Linked DNA regions of Schizosaccharomyces pombe. The protein of the gene in region 2 purifies or fractionates together with the protein of the main gene of each other region. This does not show direct contact. Each region holds a gene or a part of one and is shown on either strand. Other genes may lie near its edges.

Region 1 (3,755 bases), 2.4 Mb from region 2:
GGAAATCACTTAAGTTAAAGAGCCAAAATCTTACTAAATACGAAAAGCCTAATGGAGGAGCACATAATTAAAGGATTAAAAATTGGGTTAACCCAACCGGAGAATGGCTCCATTTGAAGTACTAAACAACAACTGGTGTAACTCATTTAACCAAACCAAATTAGAAATAGAGGAAACATGGGTTTGACTCATACATCTCCAAGACTTTGAAGATTTGACATAAATATGTACATAGAGAGTCTCCCCATCCGAACTTACCAAAAGTTGACTAGTAATATCTAATGACACTGCTGCGACTTTGGTTTGTAGGGGTATTTTTTGAACAAGCTCAGATTTTCTTAAGTCCCAAATGAAAATGTCAGAGTCATCATTAGTTGTTACTACAAGCCAATAACCGTTTTCACCAAATTGTAATGTTTTAACTGGACTTGAATGTGGTCCAAATTTTGTAAGCTCATTTCCCGAGGAAGTCTCAAAAAAGCGTAACTCGCCATTCTCTAACCCAGCGACAAAGAGGTTACCGTCCGGATGTACAGCAAGAGATGTAATGTGTTGAGCAACGGTGATATTATAAACCTGGGATTTCAGGGAGAAAATATAACACTTTTCGTTTGATGCTGCTAATAAATATTCCCCACTTGGATGAGCTTGAAGGAAGTTCACCTTTTCGTCTATAGGAATGGACGAAGTAGGTTCACCCACACTTTGTAAACCAGATGAGGAAACAGGAAATTCAAAAATTGAAATGGCATCAGCAGTAGCGACAGCAATCTTGGAAGAAGTCAACCAACAACACGCTAAAGCTGATCCTTCAAAAATTTTGAGAGTACTGTTGGATTGGATATCTAGACATAAAAGTTCATCCTTATGAAGACATAATACAAAAGAAGAATTTTCAGGGGACGGGAAGAAAGACGTAGTGCTTTCTGTTTCCAAATTTTCTAAGATAGTAGAAGGAGTAGCTTGCAAGAGCTGACTCACAGCATCGTCAGTCGCCCATTTAGGTTGTAACTTTGTACGTTTCCTTTTGGAAGAAAGTTCTTGAAATGTTTTTTCCACCGTAGAGCGTAAGCTAGTTTTAAGCTGGTCATCACTTTCGCCCATCTCTACCTCTTGTACTTCAATAGTTTTCGAGGAAACAGTGCCTATGTTATCGGAAAATTTCGCCAATGCTTCTCTAGCTTCGTCTCTTTCTTTGGTAAGCCGAGATATAACTCTTAACGCAGCATCTAGCGAATACAATGCCGTTGATAACTCCTGCTTCGTCTCTGTAAGATTTCTTCTAAGTTCAAATTGCTCAAGCGCGACAGAATCCCATTCTTCTTGAAAGAGAGACAGCAATGCAGGCAATGAAGTGGCAGAAGGAGGTCGAGGTCTAACAAAATCAGGTACTGTTTAAAGGTTAGCAATTATCTTCGATTTGATTCGCTTTATATGTGAATGGTCAGTACAATCAAAATATAGTAAATATAAATCGCATTGGAGAGCAAAAACCAAAAAAAATCTAAAGTATTAATACATTTTCCTCAACAACTCCACATTAATTTTGATAAAGATTTGTTTTGATAAATCCGACAAGGTTGTTCTATAATTCTCTAAAAACCTTCCTAATTTCTGCCCCGAGATATTGACATGCACTAAATAGTCCACTTTTTAAGGAGAAATATAAAGCTGTAAAATTAAAAAATTTCGAGTACAAATCAATCATGCAATAAAATACATTATCAACAAAAAAAAGAAAATAAACGAGTTCTTCAACCAATATTGCAGGGTTTTACTTTCCAAACCAATTTCAGAATATTCAGTACTCCACGTATAAAAAAATAAGTGCTACTTGAAATTCTTAACCATTCAATAATAAAGAAGGAAATCTTACCCTTTACAGGAACCAAGTCCTCCAACGTGCATTCCTGTTGAGTAACAGGGTCTTTAGACGTTTCACGAATAACTTGTTCAATCAAGCGCTTCTCGTAAACATTTCCTACATTCAGTCAGACAGGGAAATTATTGTACAAACATACCACTTACACGAGAAATCACCGGTTCTTTTGGCGTTTCTCCACTGATTGAGCAAAACATTCGGCACACGTTGGTTTCTGTGTGTAATAGCTAGAGGAAAGCAATGCATAGCCAACTAATCGTTTACTGCACTATACCAATATCCGTATATAATATAAGGCAAATGCGATGCATTTTGCAAATAATTTTCTAGTTAGTAGTGCAAATGTACGTACAAGGCATAGTAGGGTTTCAGTACCTCTCGTCTTCATAAATCTACTGGACCATTACGAGACTGGATAGAATTGGAGATAATTTACTTAAAATCACTACAGATTCCCATAAATTGTCCCTCTCTTCTAGCTACTCACGAACTGTTGCATCATGGATAATACATCTCTACTAACCCGTGGAGGTGAGATTTACAGCAGGAAGAAAGGGAAGAAGCAAAGATTGGAGGAGATCGTCTTTGATAAAGAGAAGCGAAAGTATGGATATCATAAAGGGATTGCTACTAACTTGTTACAGAGAGTATTTAACTGGATTTCATAAACGCAAAGTTGAACGACGAAAGCATGCTCAAGTTCAATTGGAGCAGCAAAAACGCGAAGAACGTTTAGCGTTGAGGAAATCTGTAAGTTTTTCTAATACTATCTTGAGTATATCACTAACACTATTCAGCTCAGAGAACAGCGCAAAAGAGAACTGGCTGAGCGATTAGCATTCTCTAAAGAGTTGAATAGCTCGCTAGAAAATGATGAAGAATCTTCACAGCAAGAAGATTCCTCATCTAAATCTGACAGCGAGGAAGAGTCATCAATGGAGCCTAAAACTACTGAGTATGACGAAGATGATAAGCATGTTACGGTAGAAATTGTAGAGGACGATGATGATGAAGAAATTGCTTATCCTAAAGAAGGTTTTGTCACGCCTCGTATTTCTCCTCCACCAGATGTTCCTTTGCGTCCCCACAAGCCTAAAAATGCCGCCAAAAAGAAATTTCGGTATGAGAGCAAATTTGAACGTACACAGGACAGAAGAAAAGAAAAAATACGTCGTTTAAAGAAGAAAATAAGACGTTAAATTAGGAACTTCAAGCACACGTTGTTTGACGCATCTTGCCCTTTTTTTATATTTATGAATATGGTTGGTATAAAATGATATTTGAATTCAATTGTCCATTCGTTTTTCAGGTTGAGAATTTTTGGAAGTTAACAAACTACTTTACAAGAGATCATTACATATACGGAGTTTTTCTTGGTCTGATATATGCATTTCAGCCTTTTTCAATTTTTTGTTCACAGTTTTGATTAAGGTGTTTGTACATGCGCAAAAAATTTGTACTCAATAAGCGGTAAGCTAGATTTTAGCACGATTTATATTTTTTTATTATGTTTAAAACCCGTAAATTTTAGAGATACTCTACATTTATATATTCCTTTGGATTTTAGTATATTAGCGAAATTCACTAGAATACCGAGTTTGATCTTTGTCAGAACACAAACCACGTCTGGTAATGTGGTAAACAAAAAAATATTAAAAAGAAGACTGCAACAGCTTTTATTTCATTAGCGTTGATCATGTTCTCAATAATAACATGTCTTCTTCAATAAACGGATTAAATGAGAGTGAAGGGTCAACGCCTTTAAGCACTGCATCTATCATTGGCTCAAGTGAGCAATTGTACATGACTCATGATGAACGATACCTAGACGTCCTTCAACAATACGAAGTTGAGACTGAAAATAAGCGTGACT
Region 2 (3,755 bases):
TCAAAGCAATCATTTCTTTCAATAAAACATTTGCAGTCGGATCTTCATTTTCAAGTGAACGCTTCCATTTTTCTGGTTGTGTTACAGATGGTCGAATCAAATCTCTTTGAATAACCTGTGACCTCCTCGCTTTTGCCAACCTTTCTTTTTCTGCAATACGTTCTTGGATACGACGTTCTCGGTCTGTTGCGTCTTCTTCAAGCACTCCAACAGTAGCTTCAACATCAGTTTCGTCCGCAAATCGAGGCTCCATTAGTTCATAGTCGTTTTTAGGTTTAGGTAGTTTTGCAAGCAATTCTCGCAAAGCCTTCAATCGAATTTTATTTTCTCTTTCACTTGCTAATCGTCCTGCTCGCTCCGCAGCTGCATTAATAGAAAATGTGTCACGTGGTGTTCTAAAAGGAGTTGCTTGAGGTGCTGCCAAAGCTGAGCCATTAGCTGCATGACTGGGAGTAACTCCTGTGTAACCAGTACCACCAGGTTGTAAAGGTATACTTTCCTGACCCAAGAGAGAAGATTGTTCGCGGTTCCTCATCAATTGATTTCTAACTTCAATTGTAACTGAATCCTCTCTTCCCTCAAGTTCACCACTAATTGGTGTTCTCAATGGAGTAGCTCGTTCAATTTGTGTATACTTTCCTAACAAATTAGTACTGTAATTAGCATCTGGAGTCGTATCAGTCATAGCGCGAGCACGATCGCCTGCAAAGCCTAGTTTCACTACTTTATCCAGTTCATCTTGAGACACAGTAGGACTAGGTAAATTCAACTTCCGCCTCTTGCTCATCTGCTCAGCCTCGGCAAGACGTCGCATTTTTTCTTCTTGGGCATCTTTGTTGGGCTTTTTTACTCTATCAATAGGTTTTGGCTTTTCAAAATGACCAAATTTTCGACCTTCGGATTCCATTTCATTATTCCGTATTCCATTTTCAATTATCTTCTGGTCCGCTTCTCGCTTTTCCCGAAAATTTTGCCTGTCCTCTTCTGAGGTATCATAAAAACCAATCGCTGGCTTTTTTTCAAATGGAATAGAAGCGTTATAATCCATTTCATTCTTCTTTCGACGGAAGAGCTTTATACTAAGTTATAGATTAACATAATGAAGGAAAAACAATACAATAAAGTAATAATAATAACACATACTTGATTCCAGCTGCCTTCAATTCTCTTCGCTTTTGGAGATGTGACAATCTTCTAGTTAATTCAAGCTGCTTTTCTCTATCCTTTCGTTTGGCTTTCTTTCCTTGTGTGTTTGCTAAACGTGCACGTGCTTCACTCAACATCTCTTTTTCGTCTTCATCCATGTCAATGGCATCAGGGAGTGCAGGTAGGGTTTCTAAATTGGGCTCTGCTTCGCCAAAACGAAGCCGGGAATTTGGATCGTTAACAGGCGCAGCTGCTTCTGCACCTTCTCCACTGATCAATCCCAACTGCTCGTTCTCTTTCGCTTCCAAATCATCAAGAAGTTTTTGATAGCGTTCTAAACATTGAGTGGCCGTCCGACCTACAATTGGAGCAATCGTCCGCCACTGTGTAGGAAGTAACTTAGCTAAGTGTAATAATTTTTCGTCCTCTTCACGACTCCATTCAGTCTAAATGTGAAGGAAATGTTAACAATAGGTCTTGTCAAATAACAAATAGTGATTACATGTTTAACATACCTTTTTAATGCTTGGATCGATCCATTCATACCAACGAGCTTTACATTGTTTAGGAGTTTTGCGAACCAGCAATGAACTTATGCGGGCCCATTGGTTTTTACCGTATTTACTGACAGCAGCCTAGGAATTTGCGTTAGTATTCTAAATATTAAAGGAAATATGTAACTAATAAATAAAAAAATACCTTTAAGATTTCATCCTGTTTACCAATAAGTTAGTAACAAAAACATTGCGCGTGGTAGAAGGTTAAAATCATAGTCTTTACCTCTGTATTTTTCCAGGCACCTAAATTATGTTAGAAAATACAATAAAAAAAGTTACAAACCTCCTTTTAAAACAACCATTTTCTAAATATTCGCCAAAACCCTGACAATTGTCAGAAAGCGTGGTAATGGAGGTTTGTAGTAACTGTAACAACTTGCGACGAAACAGGGTGGATGGGAAATTGAGGTAAATGTCGAGTGCAGCAGAAAGTGACCAAAATTATATTTTATATTTAAAGTAGTTTTAACTTTTAAAAGAACAGTTTCTTAAACACACTAATAGTCAAACCAAATATTCATTTTATTGTTTTTTCCAGTTTGCTACGTATCACATATTTACCTTAAATTATTTCAATGTAGCACATGTTTCTTTATCGCAAAAATATAATAGCGCAAAATCGTTGGACAACATTAAATTTTTTTGAATATTCCTAACCGTTGAGTATTAAGAAAATATTTGACAAGCAGGATATAGCAATGATCAAATATGTTTATCTTGAAGGTGGATCTACCATACTCTTCCTCTTATTTATGGTTGGTATATCAACAAGTAACTACAAGCATTGCAGTATTATGTGTATCGTTAAGTAACCTAATGACCGCGTATTTGTCAGCAATACTACACTACGTTACATATCACTATATGTCATATGTTGGAATACTAATTAAGATCCGTCTATTGATCATCACGGGTAACTATCCGTCTATATACATAGATACCCGTTGATAGCAACTATTTAGAAATATTATAAATAGAGTTTTAACTGAACTGAGGAACGAGGTTCAGTTATAAGCTATATTAGTGATAGGTAACATTTTATAACCTAGTTAATACAATACCTATACTCAGTTGCTACTCATACGACCTGTGTATTGTAATATAATAGACCACAAGGAAAACTCACCGCAGTTCTACGTATCCTTAAATTAGATAACAAACTGTGTAGCTAGCAGTATTGTGAAAAATAAAATAAGCAATGCAAAAGAAGTATAATGTATCACGCATTTCAATTTTAATGGAATACACTCAAGTTCATTATTTTTATGGGTACTTTGCAAACATATGAATGCATTAGTTTAGCAAAAGCTTTCTTAGATTCTGTGTGAAAACATTAAGAAACTGCTTTATTTGTTTGTTTCTGAAGCTCATCTTTTACTTTCTTTAGGTTATATTTTGCAAATTGCCGCTTTTTTTATGCTCGTCCATGGGTTATCATCTATTTGTTAGACAAACCAACAAAGTTTACGATTGAACAATTGTTCTATTTATCATTATCGAATTTAAAGAAAAACTTAAGGTTTAAAAGAAATGTCAGTGCTCGGGAAAACTTTACAGGAGAAAGTCAATCTCTTGGCTCAATATCCTCAAACAGGGTTGTCTTTAAAGCAATTAGTGTATTTTGGTAAGAATTTTTGCTCAGTTAATTTTTCTTAGATTACTTCATACTAGAAATTTTATACTGACTGCTTAATTTTTATTATGAAGGCAAGAACCCTACACCAGGAACACTTTTCCGGGCTGGCTTGTTTTTGCGAGATGAATTGCCCATTCGCTTGGCTCGGCGCATCCAAGACCTGCAGAATCTTTCACCGATGCTACGAAGTATGAAGCGTATATCTTCCGTAAAGGCTGCTTACGGTAGATCTATGGAGGTAGGTCAAATGTGTATATTTGCATGTTCGATACTTGTCGAAACATAACCAGAAATCAAACAAAGCTAACTGGTTGAAGGAAATTATTGAACTGAAAGGAGTGGAACTACCGAAATGTCTTCCAAAGCACGCTCGATATCACAATGCCCCGAAATGGAGGTCAAGTTTAATGGACTCT
Region 3 (3,755 bases), 1.6 Mb from region 2:
AAACGACTGCGAAACATATCTTCGCGTGGATCTTTTTTACCTGTCCAAGAACCTTTCCTTCTGATTACTTCAGGAGGAAGGTTTAGCATACTGGCAAATACCTGCCTAGGAACTTGATCGTGCCTCCCCCATGCCTTCTCGTCTTCCACGACATGCCCGTAGCCACCATCAATACTGAACCAAACATGAAAATAACCCAATTCTAATCATTAGTAAAATAAATGATTACGATTTTCCAAACATACCCTTAACCATCATTTTTCGAAAAGCCCATTTTCCATACTTCTTCGAACCTTCTAATGTATCAATAATTTTTCGATGTTGAGACCACTCCTCGTCAGAAGTAGACAAAGCTTCACGGAAGTAAGCAGGTGCAAGTGAGAGGATCCTTTTAGAGACTGGAATACACTCAATAGCTGTGTGCATATATCTTTGTGGTGAAGGCGCGTTTTCATAAAAAATAACACCAAGATTCATGGAATCAAACATTAGGGCGATGCATTTCATAAAATTCTAAAAAGGTTTGTTAGTTATTTCCTTTTACTATATTAACATACTCTGATTTCATCCCATTCATCCTCATCACAGCTGAGGGTATTTATCCGATGTCCTGTAGGAACAATTAAACAATGATATTTAGCTAATTCGGGTTGAGTTGGTAAAGAAACATAAGCACGATGACTTAAAGATATTACTGGTGCCAAAGGTTGTGTTTCATAATTTAGGCAAAGAGGACAAGTGTCCAAAACATGATTAATTTTTTTAAGATCCCCACCACTACTAATTTGAGCTAGACTGACGTCTCCGCGCTTCATTCGATTAGAAAGTTTCCCTGCATTTTCGTCCAAATAATCCAGATTGTTAGAATAAGTTTTATCCTTTGCAATCTGCTTTGCGTATTCATAATTCTGGCCGTATTTCCGTTGTTTATTCAACAATTTTTCTTCCTGTACCATCTCATCAATAGTAGGATCGTCGAAGTTTCTTTTTTTTGATGGTATGGTTGCTTGCGAATTAGAATTTTCCGAAGGGTGTAAAGAGTTTTCGAAGTCATCACAAGCTTTCTGATATTCCCTTTCTAAAGACTCATAGTTAGGATCCTTTTTAAGTTGAGCACGTAACAAATCAGCTTTTAATCTATTCAAATCGCTTTCAGTGGGAGTATCTTTATTTACAGAAGGGTCAGGTATTACTTTGTAGTATGTAGCGCCATTACCAGAATCTTTTCTAGTCTTAAATTCATCAGCACATCGTTTTTCATATAATTCGCCAGTAGGAACTTCTTTCTGAACTTTTCGAGTTCGTTTTCGAAGCTCTAACTCATCTCTTTCTTCCAAGGCAAAATCAAATTCTTTCAATGAACCATAACGTTCCAGAGCTACTTCTTCAACGGGGCGTCGTTGGTCTTGAGCCATGTCAAATACGCGTTTGAGCTTCATCATACGCCATCGAGAGCCATTATCACCAATTTTGTAATTAATTCCTGACTCATTAATTTCGGTTTCAAGCTGTTCTATATCTTTATGTTCTGTACTCGTCGAACTCTCATTCTGTAATGTTGCACCAACAAAAATTTCACCAGGCTTATTGGACTTTCGGTCAATAGGTTCTCTTTGTATACGCGAACCGAACGTACCAAAATCCAAACCTTGCAATGAATTAGTAAAGTCATTATTCTGTGGATTGTCTTTGGAGGATGGCATGGAAGAAGCAGAAGCGAATTTGGAGTCAAAGTATTCATTTTCAACAGGAAGTTTCTTTACCTCCAATGGCTCTTTACTAAATCTTTCATGCCTACTTCGGTCACCTGCTTCTCTAGAGCTTGGCCTTTCACTGCGATCATGTCGTCCATGCTTGCTCTCACGATGCCTAGAGTGGTGGTGACGATGCCTTCTAGAGTGATTTGTTTCTCTGTCAGTTTCATTGAATTTGTGAGTACTGGTCCTATTTGTAAGCTTTTCCTTTTCCATAATGGACGTTATTTTAATATTAATTCATGAAATAAATAATTTTTAACAATAATTAGAGGCAAAATGGTGGGAAAAAGGAAATAATGTTTTTATTGTAACTTAACGATGGTAGTAGTACATTCGTTAAGTCAAGTGGTTCAGGCACTATGCAGATCTAAACAAGCAACGCAAATGATAGTTTTGCCAGGAGTTTAGTTTAGACAATGATCAGAATTCTCTTTTAAATTAAAAAAAATTGTAAAATATTGCGTTGAAATGGAAAGAAAAGAAAGTGAAACAATTAAGTTTGAAAGAAGGAGTATCGGCCTTTGCAGTATTCCACATTGACAGTGAAAGGCGATACAATAACTTTAGGATTCCAAAATATATACCACTAACTTCAAACAAAAACCTTTTAAATAACGCAAGGACTTTAGTAGTACTAAATTACCCATTGTTTATTTGAACTTCATTACAAATAAGTTGGAAAGAATAATAAAATACCTCGCGCTAACTACTGTATAGTGTGTCTTGCGCTAGTGTACAATGAGTTTATGATACTAGCAAAGCTACACAACAGCCACAGAAAAAAAAGCATTGTTTGTTTCCAAACTGTGACGATTTTTTATACCTGTATTTCCAGTGTAATTGGATCATTGCAATTATATTTTCTTTAGCAAAGTACTAAAGAAGTCTGTTTATCGCCTTTAATAGCATACAAGTTCAATCAATTATAGCTGTTAGGCCATCTAGGAAATATAAACAAAGGAAAGACCAAATTTTCATTCATATTTATAGCTATGACTAGTTAATGCATGAATAATTAAATTTAACAAAATTAAAAATAAAAAAGCTCTAATAAATGTGAGATTTCAGCTCTTCATGGATACGTGCAGTATTTATATATGACTAGACAGTGAGTTGTAGTGAGAAGTGAATAAGCGAGATATAGTGATGATCAATCTCATTTCGCTAGCAAAACATAATTGGAGTAACAGCAGCAAACGATTTATAAGTTGCGTTAAATCTCACCTAAATTCCAAACACGCGTGTTGAACTTACACATTCGCATTTTTTGCCATTTGCTTCATTTTTTCATTTGTTTTTTACATGAGCATATGAATGATTTAAAACCTAATGCCGAATTCATCGTACTATGACGACGATGGCGGTTCTTTTGAAGCGGCATCATATCCTTTTCAATTCGACGGTAGTCGTCGATTTCCCAATGATTTGCATCCAACGATGTTTGAGGGGGAGGAATCTAATCAAAATGGAGGCTCTGTGCTAATAGATCAAGCCTTTCAGGATATACAAAATCCTAACGTGAATTCAAACATGCATTTGGAAAATCAGTTCCAACACTTTCACGAGCCAAACAAGGAGTCAGGTGCTTTCGGTTCGTACAAAAATGATGATGTTGCTAAAGAAATAGAATCTAGTAAAAATCAGGAAACCGATGCAAAAAGCGAACAGGCACCTTTCACTGAAGACGCATCTTCATCTAATTATGCGCATCATAGAAGTGCTGATTCCCAAACAAAATCTGCGTTACCCCCAAATGTTCCTGCAAGTTCATCGCCATTACCTCCTATGTCAATTGCTATGAACATTGCTCGGAAAAGATCATGGCCTGCCAGTTTGGCTATTGAACGTGACAACACCGCTGACGCCCTCTTTTCTACTGAAGATGGTAGGGAAGAGCAATTTAATTTGGAAGGTGTCAAAACAAAATCAGGAAGAAAAGTGCATCGCCCTAATCATTTCGATCCCCTTGTAAAATTACCTACTAGACGACGTGGCCCA

What was found.
Region 1: the proteins of cdc5 (region 2) and prp19 purify together in Schizosaccharomyces pombe (affinity purification with mass spectrometry; 6 studies listed by BioGRID, with this or other methods). This does not show direct contact.
Region 3: the proteins of cdc5 (region 2) and cwf19 purify together in Schizosaccharomyces pombe (affinity purification with mass spectrometry; 3 studies listed by BioGRID, with this or other methods). This does not show direct contact.

Annotation. Positions count from the first base shown.
Region 1 is NC_003424.3:5,131,566-5,135,320, reverse strand, and holds the start of prp19 (Prp19 complex subunit, ubiquitin-protein ligase E4 Prp19), read right to left. Parts: upstream 2,099-3,755; 5' UTR 2,080-2,098; coding exon 2,022-2,079; exon of another isoform or gene 1,982-2,021; coding exon 1,877-1,981; intron 1,538-1,876; exon of another isoform or gene 1,392-1,537; coding exon 88-1,391; 3' UTR 1-87. Other genes in the region: rRNA exonuclease Rrp17, read left to right, coding at 2,383-2,486, 2,527-2,632, 2,680-3,081; RNA polymerase I upstream activation factor complex subunit Rrn5, read left to right, coding at 3,596-3,755. UniProt on the Schizosaccharomyces pombe protein: Probable ubiquitin-protein ligase involved in pre-mRNA splicing. May also function in DNA repair.
Region 2 is NC_003424.3:2,693,008-2,696,762, reverse strand, and holds the start of cdc5 (splicing factor Cdc5), read right to left. Parts: upstream 2,065-3,755; 5' UTR 2,006-2,064; coding exon 1,987-2,005; exon of another isoform or gene 1,947-1,986; coding exon 1,927-1,946; exon of another isoform or gene 1,870-1,926; intron 1,861-1,869; coding exon 1,846-1,860; exon of another isoform or gene 1,782-1,845; coding exon 1,662-1,781; exon of another isoform or gene 1,593-1,661; coding exon 1,144-1,592; exon of another isoform or gene 1,080-1,143; coding exon 1-1,079. Other genes in the region: [pyruvate dehydrogenase (acetyl-transferring)] kinase Pkp1, read left to right, coding at 3,234-3,327, 3,411-3,577, 3,657-3,755. UniProt on the Schizosaccharomyces pombe protein: Involved in mRNA splicing and cell cycle control.
Region 3 is NC_003424.3:1,101,778-1,105,532, forward strand, and holds the start of cwf19 (protein Cwf19), read right to left. Parts: upstream 2,031-3,755; 5' UTR 1,971-2,030; coding exon 558-1,970; exon of another isoform or gene 514-557; coding exon 246-513; exon of another isoform or gene 203-245; coding exon 1-202. Other genes in the region: Lsd1/2 complex PHD finger domain-containing protein Phf2, read left to right, coding at 3,087-3,755. UniProt on the Schizosaccharomyces pombe protein: Involved in mRNA splicing where it associates with cdc5 and the other cwf proteins as part of the spliceosome. Involved in mRNA splicing.